Linked DNA regions of Caenorhabditis elegans. The protein of the gene in region 1 interacts with the protein of each later gene in a pairwise test. Each region holds a gene or a part of one and is shown on either strand. Other genes may lie near its edges.

The links.
Region 2: the proteins of cdc-48.1 (region 1) and ufd-3 interact in a two-hybrid assay, tested with the Caenorhabditis elegans proteins (one study listed by BioGRID).
Region 3: the proteins of cdc-48.1 (region 1) and ubxn-6 interact in a two-hybrid assay, tested with the Caenorhabditis elegans proteins (one study listed by BioGRID).

Annotation. Positions count from the first base shown.
Region 1 is NC_003280.10:10,559,480-10,565,359, forward strand, and holds cdc-48.1 (Transitional endoplasmic reticulum ATPase homolog 1), read right to left. Parts: upstream 3,929-5,880; 5' UTR 3,912-3,928; coding exon 3,714-3,911; intron 3,586-3,713; exon of another isoform or gene 3,473-3,585; intron 3,436-3,472; coding exon 2,608-3,435; intron 2,562-2,607; coding exon 1,489-2,561; intron 1,456-1,488; exon of another isoform or gene 1,238-1,455; intron 1,234-1,237; coding exon 1,039-1,233; intron 990-1,038; coding exon 854-989; 3' UTR 552-853; downstream 1-551. Other genes in the region: C06A1.6 (uncharacterized protein), read right to left, coding at 4,696-5,088, 5,132-5,197; C06A1.7 (uncharacterized protein), read left to right, coding at 5,433-5,483, 5,530-5,880. UniProt on the Caenorhabditis elegans protein: ATP-dependent chaperone which probably uses the energy provided by ATP hydrolysis to generate mechanical force to unfold substrate proteins, disassemble protein complexes, and disaggregate protein aggregates.
Region 2 is NC_003280.10:9,939,069-9,944,609, forward strand, and holds ufd-3 (Ubiquitin fusion degradation protein 3 homolog), read left to right. Parts: upstream 1-1,689; 5' UTR 1,690-1,692; coding exon 1,693-1,737; intron 1,738-1,782; coding exon 1,783-2,095; intron 2,096-2,144; coding exon 2,145-2,251; intron 2,252-2,298; coding exon 2,299-3,060; intron 3,061-3,110; coding exon 3,111-3,426; intron 3,427-3,480; coding exon 3,481-3,722; intron 3,723-3,778; coding exon 3,779-4,131; intron 4,132-4,185; coding exon 4,186-4,411; intron 4,412-4,457; coding exon 4,458-4,562; intron 4,563-4,609; coding exon 4,610-4,723; 3' UTR 4,724-4,938; downstream 4,939-5,541. Other genes in the region: C05C10.5 (uncharacterized protein), read left to right, coding at 159-200, 246-349, 398-739, 796-946; flad-1 (Molybdenum cofactor biosynthesis protein-like region), read left to right, coding at 5,069-5,221, 5,272-5,395. UniProt on the Caenorhabditis elegans protein: Plays a role in protein ubiquitination, sorting and degradation through its association with cdc-48.1 and/or cdc-48.2.
Region 3 is NC_003282.8:4,806,892-4,811,147, reverse strand, and holds ubxn-6 (UBX domain-containing protein 6), read left to right. Parts: upstream 1-1,660; coding exon 1,661-2,197; exon of another isoform or gene 2,198-2,679; coding exon 2,680-3,081; intron 3,082-3,130; coding exon 3,131-3,241; intron 3,242-3,294; coding exon 3,295-3,558; 3' UTR 3,559-3,722; downstream 3,723-4,256. Other genes in the region: eif-1.A (Eukaryotic translation initiation factor 4C), read right to left, coding at 1-65, 113-212; H06H21.37 (uncharacterized protein), read left to right, coding at 1,184-1,357, 1,453-1,600, 1,651-1,664; H06H21.11 (uncharacterized protein), read left to right, coding at 3,856-3,938, 3,992-4,256. UniProt on the Caenorhabditis elegans protein: Probably acts as an adapter for ATPase cdc-48.1 and/or cdc-48.2, conferring substrate specificity. Involved in the lysosomal clearance of cellular material in diet restricted conditions.

The DNA.
Region 1 (5,880 bases):
GTGAATTTGTTCGTGACGGTGTTTCTTACAAAAATGTGCATATTTGCGGCAAATTTTGTGTTTTCAGATATTTTTAAGAATTTGAAAACTATTGGCACTTATCAGTTACTATCAATATTAATATCTGATCTAAAAGATTCATGTGACAGACAACGAGGACAAGGAATTTTTGAAAATTGGCCAGAAACGAGTTCAACAAGCTTGAAGATAAGCAACTATAGTACTCAATTCGGCATTTTCTTTGTTAAAAACCTCATGACTATGTACGAAATGCGTGCACTCCTATGAGTGTGGAGACAATATCGATGGAAAATGATATCAATGAATGAAAAAGCACTTCTACTTTCCAAAAGATCAAGAACAACTGGATCGCTAAATAGGTTTGATGATTGATATTAAAACCTGGTCCAAAAAATTACGTTAAACTTAGGCAACTTATCTTAAATACAGCTTCCCATTATCAACGGAACAACCAGTCATTGGTCATGAGACAATTCCACCTACACAATCACAAATAATAGTTTGAATATGGCAACACAATCGTACACAATTATGATTACAGACATCGTACATTTATATGTCAAAAACGGCAATACATACAAAACATTGGGAGGGATGCAAAAAAATAAATGGGATATACTTTTTGATCAACTGGGATGTAGGTATCTACAAATTTTTTCTTCTCGCGAAGATCATCCGTAACCATTAATTTCTAAAGCGAAAACATGGGCTCAATTACAATAAATAGTGGTAAATCGGGGGTTGGAAAGGGGTGAAATACGAGGTGAAAAAGTGGGTATGGGAGAAAATAAAACGAGTATCATACATAGACTCAGTAGATAAACTCAATACATTAGTTATAAAGGTCGTCATCATCCTGAGCAGGTACAGGGGCAGATGGGGCATCGCTTCCGCGTTGTTCTCCTGGGAATTTGAAGTTGTTTCCAAAGCCACGAGATTGTTGCAATGTTTGTGCAAACATTTCGTACCTACAAACATATTTTATAGACATACAATAAAACCATTATCAAAACTCACTTTCTGATGTCATTGTCTGTAACAGAGCGTCTGGCAAACTTCATGGCTTCCTCGAAGTGAGCACGAGTAATTTCTGGTACTGGATCAACTGCATCGTCTTCCATGAGCTCCTCACCGCGAGCTTGGCGATCTTGACGTTCCTTCTCAATCCGAATTTCCTTTTCGATCGATTCGCGAATAGCCAGCTTACACGCTCTGAAAATGTCATCGTTCACACCAGGAAAAATAGAATATCGGGGCCTTAGCGCGACTTTAGATACTCTAACTATTATAATTTACTGTGAGACGATTTTTTATATAGCACAAATATGACACTCGCGTAACCATGAACACAAAACTTGGCAGAATCTGAACTGCAAAACGCAGCTAAGAAGAGCCAAGAATGTGTAGATTTCGCAAGTTCTTAAGTTGTGCGTTTTGAACAAATTTTCAAATAATTAAATTACTCACCTCTGACAAATTTCGGTCAAATCGGCTCCAGAGAATCCAACAGTGTTTTTGGCCAAGAAGGTCAAGTCAAGATCCTTGGAGAGTGGGGTTTTACGAAGAGAAGCTTTCAAAATTTGGTGCCGAGAAGCTTCGTCTGGGAGTGGGATGTAGATAAGCTGATCAAGGCGACCTGGACGAAGAACAGCTGGATCAATGATATCAGGTCTGTTTGTAGCTCCGATGATGAACACATTTTTCTTCGCGTTCATTCCATCCATTTCGGTGAGCACTTGATTGATTACACGATCCGATGCACCTCCTCCATCACCGCCGGCGCCTCCACCTCTTGCCTTGGCAATCGAATCCAACTCATCGAAGAACAACACGCAAGGAGCAGCTGCACGAGCCTTGTCGAAGACATCACGGACGTTAGCTTCCGATTCTCCGAACCACATTGTGAGCAATTCTGGACCCTTGATGGAGATGAAATTGGCTTGACACTCGTTGGCAATTGCCTTGGCAAGAAGTGTCTTACCACATCCTGGTGGCCCATAGAACAAAACTCCTCTTGATGGCTGCATTCCAAACTTGAGATATTTTTCTGGGTGTTCCACTGGATACTGAACCAATTCTTGAAGTTCGCGCTTGACGTTTTGAAGACCTCCAATGTCGGACCAAGTTGTATTCGGAGTTTCGACAACAGCCTCGCGGAGAGCGGATGGGGAAGACTTTCCTTGAGCAAAACGGAAGTTTTCCATTGTGACAGCGAGTGAATTAAGAACCTCTGCATCAATTTGGTCATCTTCGAGATCAATGAGCTCCATCTTTTCACGAATCTGTTGAAGAGCGGCTTCCGAGCACAACGATGCCAAATCGGCACCAACGAATCCGTGACATTCATTTGCAATTTGTTCAAGATCAACATCATCCGCGAGCTTCATGTTTTTCGTGTGAATGCGCAGAATCTCAAGCCGGCCGACTGCATCTGGAATTCCGATATCGATTTCACGATCGAATCTTCCGAAGCGACGAAGAGCACCGTCAATCGAGTTTGGACGATTTGTTGCAGCAATGACCACAAGGTTAGAACGACCCTAAAATAATTATTATTATCGAATCATATAAAATTTAAAAGCATACCTTGACTCCATCCATAAGTGTAAGCAATTGAGAAACAATTCTGCGCTCAACTTCTCCATTGGTCTTCTCGCGTTTTGGTGCAATGGCGTCAATTTCGTCAATAAACAGAATAGCTGGTTGATTCTTCTCGCATTCTTCGAAAGCCTTACGAAGATTTGACTCGGATTCTCCAGACATCTTTGACATTACTTCAGGTCCGTTGATAAGGAAGAAGAAAGATCCGGTTTCATTAGCAACAGCACGTGCAATAAGAGTCTTTCCTGTGCCAGGTGGACCGAAGAGAAGAATTCCACGTGGTGGCTTGATACCAATAGCCTTGAAAAGTTGGGGATGTCGAAGTGGCAGTTCAACCATTTCCTTGATCTGAGCCAATTGCTTCCGAACTCCTCCCAAGTCATCATAACCAATATCATTCATGCTCTCTTCTTCTTCTTCTCTCTTGATCGGATCTCCTTCGTAGTGAATCATGGTATCAGGTGACACAATGCAGGCTGGAGCTGGCTCAGTTTCGACAACTTTGAATTCCACAGTTCTCATGGCAGCTTGAACAGTGAATATATCTCCCTTGTGAAGTGGGCGGTAAGCCTCCAGGAAGTATGGCTTGAGGAAAACATCGAACAAGTTTCCAGTGAGTCCTTCGATAGTGTCATCAATAGGGAGCACGTGAATGCGGGTTCCGTAACTGAGATTTGGAGCTGGCGTAATGCTCACGACGTCTCCGAGGCGAATACGAAGATTGTTGCGGACAACACGGTTCATGCGAACTTTCTCGTTTGGACAGGACTCATCAGAGACAATGATGGCGACAGATTCCTTTCGCTTCTTTCCCTGCAAAAATAATCATTAGAATCGAAAAATAAAATTTAATTGTGTGACAACCGTTTAAAAATCGAGATCAGCACCTTTGCGTGGTGTTAGGATTACGAAATACTTTGAAACGATTCGTTACTTGATCTATATCGCACAACTATGACACTCATAAAACCATCAGCAAATAAACAGTACTAGCTTCAAAACAGAACGTTTTTCAGCCTATATTGTAAATCACAGACATTACAAGTTCTTAAATTGTGCGTTTTAATCAAAAATTAAAAAGAAACACATACCTTCAGGATGACAGCATCTCCACGGAAAAGTCCCAGTTCGTCCATTTTAGCTTGGGAAACTGCGATGACGGAATTATCATCCTGCTCGGACTGATCGACGATCAAGCGATTCGGCTTTACCTTGTCCTTGAGAATAGCTGTCGACAGCTCATCATTTTTCTTCTCTTTTTCGCTTTGATGCGTTGGAACCGAGGCCATTATGTACAATTTAAGACCTAAAATAAGAAGAATGAGTGTCCAAAATGATAGTGGGAACGAAACTATAAAAGAAAATTGAGATTTTAAAAAAGTTCACGAAATTATTTCTAAAAACGACACAGATTTGAAAATTGTCATCATCCACGCATATAGAAGCGTGTTTTCAACAAGTGTACGCAAAAAGTGTTTGGTGATTCTGACGTTAGGGCGCGGTTGCTTTATAATTTTAGCGCGAAGTTTGAAAAGGATTTTCACTGTTCAAAAAATTTTAAAATTTCTAAATAACGAGACGTATTTGTAAATATTTGCGATGAAAAGCGTTGAAACTTCAAAAAAGTTCTTTGAAAACGGAAACGCAGTTTACAATTTTTTGAAATTTTTCGGAAAAAAGGAACTAGTAAATAAAATCTACCGTTTGCACGTTTGCGGTAATGTATGTAGCTGGGTCCAGGATGAAAATATGAAAAGGAAAAAAAGTGGACTGTAATGTAATGCTGGTTTGGAAAAATAACTGTTATTTGCAATAACGCACATCAGCGTTTGGGTCTCGAAACGATATGCCGTTAGTAAATGCAGCACTTTGTAGATCGATAAAAATGATTTGCAGCATCACCCGATCGATAGACGGAGAACGAAGAGATGTGAAACGAGACGAGAGGAGAATAGTCTTAAGATTTTGATTCTTGATAGTTTCCCAGATCTATGAATTTAATAAGTTGAATAATTTCCAAATTATTTATTCCCGATCGAGAATTAGAATAAATTAAACAAATAGATTAATGGATTAACATTTGCCATTGGATGGTCTTCTTTTGATTCCAAGAGCACGATTAGCTTCATCAATTTGAAGTTTTTGAAGGGAACGACGTTTACGACCTCCACCTCCACATCCACAGCATCCGCATCCGCAACCACATCCACAACAGCATGGTCTACAGCAGGTACAACATCTAGTACAGCAACAAGTTCTACAACAAGTACAACAACATTTGGGTCTACAACAGCAGCAGCATCTTGGTCTGCAACAGCAACATCCACATCCACCACCACCTCCTCCACATCCACAACATCCACAACATCCTCCATTTCTTTTAACACGAGAAGATCCGATAATTGATGTTTCAGATGAAATTATAGATATTTCTGTTGTTGATACTGGCAAAACTCCTGATTCAACCTATAAGTTTCTTAAATACGAGAACTAAATCTATTAATCTAACCTGTGAAATCGATACAATTGTATAAATCAGTACAACTAATGTAGATCCAATTATGAATTTGGTCATTTTGATCGAATAGAAACTGATGAATATCTCAATTTTATGGTGCTTTTATATAACTTTTCCATGATCCAAAGTGTCTTAGTTTTTGTGTTCAATTTCCATGACGCGGCTCGCGCGGAGAGATCACAAAAAATGGTTTCCGGCAAAAGTGTCAAATGAGAGACGACAAACACGTAAGAAGAAGAGGGTATTTAATGGATGGAAATTCGAAAACCATATCGAACGCTAATAATCTGAAATGAATAAGATCGTACTTCTGACTCTCTTTGCCCTTATTGCTATTTCACAGGTATCGGTAAAGGTTCTAAATGTTAGAAAACACAATACTATTATAGGTTGAATCAGGAGTTTTGCCAGTATCAACAACAGAAATATCTATAATTTCATCTGAAACATCAATTATCGGATCTTCTCGTGTTAAAAGAAATGGAGGATGTTGTGGATGTTGTGGATGTGGAGGAGGTGGTGGTGGATGTGGATGTTGCTGCTGCAGACCAAGATGCTGCTGCTGTTGTAGACCCAAATGTTGTTGTACTTGTTGTAGAACTTGTTGCTGTACTAGATGTTGTACCTGCTGTAGACCATGCTGTTGTGGATGTGGTTGCGGATGCGGATGCTGTGGATGTGGAGGTGGAGGCCGTAAGCGTCGTTCCCTTCAAAAGCTTCAAATTGATGAAGCTAATCGT
Region 2 (5,541 bases), 620 kb from region 1:
TTATTTTATTGATCTGCCTCTATTTTACCGATGAAAGTGTATCAGTCGAAAATTAAAATTATGCGCGGGAAAATTCTGATTTTTTCATTTAAATTTTCGCTTGTCATTCATTCCACAGACCCATTTTTTCTCCCTCTCACCTATTTCACACACTAATTATGGAGCATTTTCATGGAAATCGCTGGGACCAGTTGCGTGCTGTGAGTTCTTGAATTAAAATTCGTTTACAATATTTATATTTTCAGGTAGAAGCTGATATTCTGTGTCCCCCGCCTGCAGATCCATTCCAAATCTTCCCCAGTGGATGGACCAGAGCCTCGGAGCTCAGCGAAAAGGGATGGAGAGAATTGTTTGTCCCAAAATGTTATATAATTGTTTCTATAATAAGATTATTCAGGCTTGACCGCAGAAGATCGCAAAGCCCGCCACCACGTGAACCATCACCAGACGTCAGAAGAGCGATCAGACGGACACCGCCGCCACGTGTCAACCGTGTGGCTCCGATTCGACTTCCAGAGCGGCGTCCATTGCGGCAATTGAACGCCAATGACGCCAGAAGACCAGCACAAGACGCTGCAAATCGCATAAATCAAGAGAATATGCGTGCAGGAAATATCGACAATGGGCAGCCACGTCGTCGAGCACTCTCCCCGACACAATTGCCAGGAGTTCGTGCGATTCCAAAGGACTTCAATCGCTTCTTCCGTGGTCTTCTGACACCTGGAGAGTTCTTTGCCAAGTGAGTTTGGATTTTCTAGCTGTTTTTAGGCTCAATTTAAATATTAAAATTTTCAGATCGCAAACCCGGTATCTTGGGCCATTCGACGAAATGCCAACGGAGGATACACTTCCAGCAGCCGACGAGTACATCATTCTGCAGCGAATGGGACGACTTCCGGATAGCGGTAAATCAATCTTCAGACAGGTCGGCAATCTGTCTACATGATTCCCAGGACTGAAATTGCTGCCCCTCAACGTTTTATCCACATTTTTCCAGTTGAGATCGCATTTTTATCTTTAAAAAATTTACTAAACCTTATTGTTGCCATGAGTCATAATTGTGATATACCTATAATTCCTTAATATAATCAATCTTCTTGAATCCACCCCACTCATTGATTAGTTGTGTGCAATAATAACTTTCGTTTAATGTTTGTAGTCTATTGGTATCGCTGTTTTAGCGTTTTTATGTTGTTTTATAATGAACCAACACCGTTTCCCCATTTATACTTGCGTAGGACAAAAATAAATCAATTGTCTATCAAACTCGGTTCCTTTCTTGTTTTTTTTTTGAAGAATTAAAAAGGTATCACTCCTGTTTCGAGACTATCTAGTGCGATGTAAATTTCGCTCTCAAAAAACCTACTAAATTAAAAAAAGTTTGCCGATAAAAGTATTATTTATTTTTAATTATTGAATTTTTAACACTCTTTGCAAAGTCTTGATGTTCTGTGAAACTTCAAATATTTATTTAAGCGAATCTGAATGCCCTTCTCCAAAAAATTGCATCCTATCAGTGTTAAATTTTGAATTCCCGCAAATTTGCCTACTGCGGGGTCGTAGAAATCCTCTTCCATGTGGCGTTAGTTCGGAGCATCGTTTGCAGTTTGTCATCAAAACTTTTTCGGATTTTTCTCAATTTCGTTATATTTTTTTGTTGATTAACTTTAATTAAAAGCTATTCTTCAGATAATGGCAGATGACGGTCTCGGTGACGTGCCAATGGAAACGGAAAGTGTGAGTTTTAGAATTTGCCGAATTGAAGTGGAATTTATTTTGCAGATGCCACAGTACACAATTTCCCATGTTATTGAAGCCCACAAATCCGACACAAAGGCTTTGGCAGTTACTCAAGGCGGATGCTTGATATCGGGTGGTCGTGATGAGACGGTTAAATTTTGGGCAAAAAAAGGAAAACAGTATACGAAAACGCACGCCTTTGAACAACCGAAAGGAATAACTGTGAACTCCATTGCATACGCTGAACTAGCGGACGGATGGAGACTTTTTGTTGGCCGAAGAGATGGAACAATTGCAGTTTTTGGCCCGAGTCAGGCGGAACCATATGCAATTTTCAATGAGCATAAACAGAATGGTATTTTTGCTTTAAAAAATATTCAAAAGTGCAAAATGAATAATTTCAGTTTGCTGTCTTCACATTAACGAAAAAGCGACTCACATGCTGAGTGGTTCGTGGGATTCCAACGTCATCATCTGGCCGATTACCGAGTTGAACTCGTCGTCATTCACTGTAATATATTTTTAATCGTTTTTTACTGGATTTTAAAGTTAAATTAGTTCCAGACTATTGTTTGTCCAGGCCATACCTTGTCTGTGTGGGCTCTCGCTTCTTTCCCGGATCTTCCCAACACTTATCTATCTGCCAGTGCTGATAAAACAATTCGTATGTGGTTTGGAGATACCACTCTCTCAGTTTTCAAAGGCCATACTGATGTCGTGCGAGCTCTCGTCGTATTATCAAGCTCTCACTTTTTATCTGCTGGAAACGATGGACATATCATTCATTGGGATGTTGCATCAGCGTCGATTCTCAGAAAATTTGCAACTCAGGCACATGAATTCATTTATAGTATGACATTGAGCGATTCCCACATATTAACAACTGGTGAAGACGGAACACTTGAATTTTGGGCAATAGATGGAGGCAAAGATGGAAATTTGGCAATTGTTTCTGAAGCAGTTATTCAATTACCAACTACGAACACTTGGGATGCTAAAGTTTTATTAAATTCCGATATCGCTGTGGCTGGAAGTGATGGACGGATCTATATCATGACCACTGATAAGAATAGAAAAGCTGACGATGATATCTTAGATGCATTTGATGCAGAAGTTGTCGCAAAGCTTACTGCGAAGACGGAAAGGATGAAGCAAGAAGAGCATGAAACTGTCACTATCAAAGTTGACATAGACGATCGACCGACTCAACTAAATCTCAAATACAAAAAGGGAACAGATCCGGGTCTTTGTGCTCAAGAGTTTTTGAGTGAGAATAATTTGCCAATTCACTATCTGGAGGAGATTACTAGATTCATCAAGGTTTGCTTTTTCCATTAATATGTTTCAATGTTGATTTTCATTTATTTCAGGACCGTATTCCAGAAGCTCGGGCATTTGACTTGAAATCTGGCAAAAAAGTTATAGTCGACGGAAAAGAGTACGATTACGCATTAGGTGTTAATTTTGGAAAAGGCGAGCCGGACAAGCAAATGCCATTCAACGTGAATGAGAGCCCTCAGTTTGCTGCTCAACGCTTTGTGGAGAGACATCAACTTCCTGTGAGCGTTATCCCTTCTCTTGCTGGAATGATCAGTCAGGAGATGGACAAGTTGTCGAAAGGAGCTGCTTCTGCTCAGTCTGGATATGAGGATCCGTTTACTGGACCAGGAAGATATGTACCTCAAGGTTCATTGAAATAAAGAAATCAATAACTCCACAATTTCAATATTTGAATTCCAGGTTCGTCGAATTCTGGCGGTCACGGTGCAGATCCTTTCACCGGATCCGGAAGATACGTACCTCAAGCATCAAACTCGAGTGGCTTTGACACTGGTTTTTCTGGTGATCCTCTTACCGGAGACGGTGGATATCGTGCGTCCGCACCTGAAAATACTGGAAGTCATGCCGTTCCTCTATCATCTCTTCCACAAAACAAGAAGAAACCACGTGGACCATTGGTTCCAGTTCCTGATTTTTACATTGTACGTTTTCTAATTCTTCTCCTCAAAATTCAACATACTTAATTCAATGTATTCAGATTGGGCTTGCTGGAAAAGGCGAGAAAGCAATTGCAAAACTGAAAGAGCTAAATGAAAAGCAGGATGCATTCCAATTGAATCCTGATCAGATTAATGGCCTTGAGGAACTTTTTGTTCTCCCAACCTCTTCGAATTATTCATCAGAAGTCACGCAGTCTGCATTCGAAATGTCTCTACAATGGCCAGTGGAGCACTTGACGCCAGTTCTTGATTTTCTGAGAATCGCACTAACTCATCATTCACTGAATTCGTATTTCTGTGATCGTGAACGTGGTCAGGAACTTGTCGGAAGATTAATTGCTATTCTTGTGTCAGATCCGGCTGATGTGGCTTTGAAGGTTCTGGTTTGTAGGTAAGAACAAATATATATTTTCGTCAAGATATAATCGTTGTAATTTATTTACAGATGCATCGCAAATGCATTTTCGCATCCAGTCGGTCGCAACCTGTTTGCTTCCACCGAGCTCTCTACTCTAGCCCCACTGGTTGTTCGTCAAGTTCTTAATGAAAAGACGGTTCTCCAAATGTCTGCTGCTACAGCTCTTGCCAACTGGTCTCTTGCTTTATTGCAACAATCCGAGCAATGCGAACAGCTGGGACCCAAGGAAGACTTATTGAGAGCCATTTTGAACGTAATTCTTCAGATTCGAGAATTTAACAATATCTTCTATTTTTAAGGGAATCGAAAGCGTCGACTCATTCGGATATTTGGGTGAAGACGCCATCATTCGTCTGCTTCAAGCATTAGTTACAGTCATGTGGGGAGATGCCTCAGTTATTCGAGTGAGTTTTCTAGAAATAACAAACATTGTAAACGCAATATTTTCCAGCTTGCCAAAAATCGTAACATTGCCCAAATTGCCGCTCGTCTCAAGGATGCAGTTTCGAACGACTCGGGAAAAAATATTGCTCGTGATATTGTGGAAATGACTTATGCTGTATGAAAAGTGTTCTAAAAGACCGGTTCAATTTTATTTGTATATAAATTGTCCAGTGCTTGTATTTTTTTTCCGGTAAAACCATTTATTTTTCACAGCCCGATTGTACTAGAATTTCAGCCCGATCTAATTTATTTGTTCTTTCTCTATTCATGTTATGTAAAAGACTACATGCTAGCCTGAAAGTTTCCTTATCAATCAATATGAACATGTTCTTGATGTCTTTCTTTTTACCGGTTCAATGGATATTTTACCACAACAATTATCGCAGCTCAGTTGAATTGTGTAGAATTTTTCAAGCTTATACTTCTAAAAGATATTCTCCGTTTTTCACATTATACTTTTCAAAAGATGCGCGCAATGTTCAGAACTCCACGGATGCCACAACGGAAAACCGCAGCGATTCTGGTGATCGGCGATGAGATTCTGAAGGGGACAACAAGAGATACAAATTCCCATTTTCTATGCAAAAGATTGCATAAATTAGGTGTAAACATTAGGAAAGTAAGTGAAGTTGGAGGAAAAACATGAAGGAATTGTGAAGTCATTTTCAGATTTCTGTAATTGGAGATGATATTTCTGAAATTTCTCGCGAAGTTCAGTCTGCCTCTGGGGCATACGACTATGTGATCACAAGTGGTGGTGTTGGGCCGACTCATGATGATAAAACATATTTAGGTAAGATTACTGTTTAAAAATATTGGAACTTGTAGTTAAAAAAAATCAAAAAATTATATTCTCCTCGTAGCGAAAACTACAGTAATTCTTTAAATGGCTACTGTAGCGCCTGTGTCGATTTACGGGCTCGATTTTCCAAATAAATG
Region 3 (4,256 bases), on another chromosome or scaffold:
CTTTCCATCAAAACAGAACACTTGAACACGACCGTTACCAAGCATTTTTGAGACTTGTCCATATTCTGGAATTAATGCTTTTGTTTTTCGGGAAAGAAGTTATAAAATCTACCTTGTCCCTCCTCCTTGAGGTCGAGCTCGCGCTTCATGAAGTCGTTCTCATTCTTTCCTCTTCTGCGATTCTTTCCTCCCTTTCCCTTATTCTTCGGCATTGCTGAAAATATTACGAAATAATTTGGAAAGTTGAAGTTACGAGAAATACAGAAGCAAAGAGGACTGCAAAAATTGTAGAAAAAACAAGAACATAAATATGCATAAGGTAATGTCAGATTTCAATGGAATTTAACAAAAAATTAAGAAGAATGAGTATACTATCCCAAAATAAACAGTTTGCTTGGATTTCGTGAGTATTTTGATGAAAAGTGATTTCTAAAAATTGGAAATAATAATTTTATCAGCGCTTGAGATTAAAATTATGTCGTCAATCGACAAAAATAAACAAAATAACAGAAGAAAAATTTCAATGAAAAATCGACGAAAATGTGGAGTGCACAGAAAAGTGGGCGGGGTTTGCTATCGCAAGAGCGCGGCGCGAGGTTACGTAACTGCGGACTTGGCGACACAATTTACGACACTCGCTATTTTTATTTTTTATTTTGCTTATTTTTTATTTTTCTCTCTAAAATTTTGTTGTTTTAACGAATTGTTTTCGGAAAAAAGTTATTCAGAATCAAAGATTACTTCATAGAATATAATTATTGTCCAAAATATAAAAGAATTGTAAGATAAACATCTCAAAACGAACATTTAACCGCAAAAACGTATTTTGGGAAAACAATCACAAACTTTTCACGCAAAAGTGTTTTACCTACATTTTTTTGTAGTTTATTAAGTCACAAAATTAACGACATCATGAAAAATACAGCAGATAATATTTTTCTGTCCGAAAGCTTTCCCCAGTTTAGTTTTCTCCAATAGAAAAACTCCAAGTTTTTTATAGCGTTTTCGAGATGAGCTTTTTTTCAAATTTTCTGAAATGAAGTTTGAAGTTTGTATACAACCCAAAATATATGTTTATCACCGTGCAATATCACAAATGTCGTCATCGCCTTCTGTCCTATTTCGCAATCATTAATTTCCGCAAATCTCTCTGAAAAAGAACTACAATTCCAGCTATTCTTGCATGGGAGAGCCTCTGGTCGCCGAGCCGACAACTGAGCAGACTCCGTTGAGCACAAATTCAGTTGCTTATCAGAGCTCCGACGCGCTTCCAGATTCCTCAGAAGCATTCGGAGTAGAAAACGTTTATCGTGCTTTGATTATCTTCTGTGATAATTATTCGTTGGATAAAAAACAAGTGCGTTAGAGAACATGTTTTTGAGATTTTCGAAATTTTAACGTGAATTATTGTTCTTGTTTCTGTCTAAAATGGCCAAAATTTGAAAATTTCAGGTAGCTCTCGGACTCTTTCTTTCTATTCTACTTTTCATCTTCTCTGTTGGCACTATCATTGCGTGGAATCGATATTCACCAATCATTCAGGAGTTTATCATAAGAGAGAACATTGAGAAAGCGAGAAATAAGAGCAACGAAAAAAATAGTAAGATATTTAACAAGTTCTGCACTGATAACCATTCCAATTTATTTCAGAGAAAGAAGAATGAATAGTTTCAAGAAATTCCTCAACAAAAAGCGAGTCCAGAATCACTTCAAAAAGAGCGGTGAAGGTGTTCGTTTGTCATCCGGCGAGTCATCTTCGCAGCCTTCTGCCCACGCTGGAGCCGCCCAGGGAGGCCAAATTGATCGTGTCGCGGCCGCTGATATTGCTGCTCAGGCTGCTTTCAAACGGATGCAGAAGAATGAACCTCAACAAAATGCTGGAAAACGAAGAATTCAAATGATTGCAAAACGAGAGCTGGAAGAAGAGAGACGTCAGGTTGAAGATCTCAACATTTCTGGGACTTCATCACTGCAGCAACCCGACCGTGAGCAACACCTCGAGCATTCATCCGCAATATCACGTGTTCTCTACACTTCCGAGTTGCTCGGTGAGCATCATATTCGCTCGAAAGCAGATCTTCTTGAAGATATCAAAAATTTCCTTTCTGATCAGATCAGCGAGGCGGATGATGAAAACGATAAAGTGATTGCCGCAGTTTTGATGCTCTATTCACTTAATAAGAAACATCCCAAGGAGGTTTGTGTATGCTCAGAATTTCAAAATATCGAAAAAAAATGAACTCATTCTGGCTAAAATCTCCAATTTTGTCAACTTTTGTGTGTTGCAGCGGTCGGAAAATGTTTTTTAATCTATTGTAATAGTTTCTCACATGTTATAATAACGTTATTTCGTTATTTAGCCAATTTGATCATTTTTAGCTAACAATAGGCTAAAAAAGTTACTTTGTTAACGGAATATTTCGGCAAATTGAAGAGTTTCGCTAAAATTTGCCCGTTTTTTTTTTCTCAAAATTTTGAACCGCCATCATAGTTTTTGTGACATTTTTGTCACATTACCGTTGAAATTAAACTATCTATCCGCAAATTTCGCAAAAATCAGCGTCGCACAGAAAGAAAAAATCAACACGGATTTTTGTAAATCTGCGAATCGGTCGTTTCACCTAAACTGTACGAAATTCGTTGTTTTGGTAGAAAAACAAACAATCTTCTAAATTTCAGACTGCCATCGAAACAATCTGCAAGTATTGTCAAAACATTTTGGAACACCCAGGAGAGGATAAATACAAATCAATTCGTTTGGGAAATAAGGCATTCCAAGAACGAGTTGCATCAGTAGTTGGAGGACGTGCATTCCTTGAAGCTGTTGGATTTACTGAGAAATCTGAAGGAGAAGACAAGTTCCTTGTGTTCACAAAACCATCAGATGTTCATTTGGTGGAGGCTCTGGAAGCTTTGAAGGATGGGCAGGCTGTGCCTATAAAGGTTGCTAGAAATCTAGAGATCTTCAAGCTAAAAGAGGGGCAAAAACCGAAAGCACCAAAGTTGGCAGATGATTTTTACAATTTGTCGACTGCTGAACTCAAAGCCGAACAGAGAAATAAGGAGATGCAGGTGGAGAGAGTGAGTGGAGCTTTAAATTGAAAAATCACACAATAAATTGAATTTTTAGATGCTGACATTGCGTACGAAGGAAATGAGACAAAAAGACGAACAAATGACCAATTATCGCTACAAATATACGTTGATTCGTGTCAGATTGCCTGGAAATTTGTTGATGCAGGTATGTATATTCCAGAAATTCAAGTGATTAATTATTTTATTTTATTTTTCCAGGGAGTATTTGGTTGCCATGAACCATTTTCCGCAGTCCGTGTCTTCGTTGCTTCAACTCTTTCCGATGCTCTTTCGACATCCGAATTCACTCTTCGTGACGCTGCCAGTCAACTCGTGGAGGATGAATCTGCATCGTTGGCTCAACTCAGTCTTGCTCCAGCTGCTCTTCTTCATGTCGTCTTCGCTGAAAACCTGTCTGATTATGGACAAATCGTTGCCGATGAGCATATCGAAATTATCCAGGAGCTTGAAGCTTCCGACTAATTTTTGTATAATTTAAAAATATAATTCCCGGCTATTAGTGTGATATGTTTGTCATTATTTTTTTCCGGTACTGCTGATGTTTTATTTCGCCTAATCGCTTTCGTTGTATTTAACTTATAAGATGCAAAAAGATTCGAGCAGCATATTAAAGATTTTGTACAGAACCGCACTTTAACTGTTTCTCTATTCGTTGTATATCGATTTTTATTTTGAAAATTATTCACTCTATCAAGAAGAAGCCGAAATTCCGCCCACTGCATCTTTTTTCAGTTGTGCTTCTCCAAAAACCATTTTCAGATGTCACAGGATCCCACGATCTCCAATTTTTTAAATGGAAAACCCATCATCGCACCTGTCGGGCCATCTTCTTTATTAACCAGGTTACTTTGAAGCAATTATTTAATTTTTAAGAAAAATTAATTCGAAATTTAAGATTACAATCGTTCCTGCCTCAAATGGAAGAAGCCAATCGAAATATGCCGGAAAACGCGTCAGCTGACGCTTTTCATATTGAAAATGTCGAGGATGACAGCTCGGACGACAGCGATTCGAATTCAGAATCGATTTCGGAAGAGGTACCTGTCACAACTGACGAAAAGAGCACAGCGAGTAGTACACAGAGGATTGAAATTGATTTAGACGTGTTCAAGGAGATGAACAGCGCAGTTGATGACAGAGATGTCGGAATTCAGAATGTC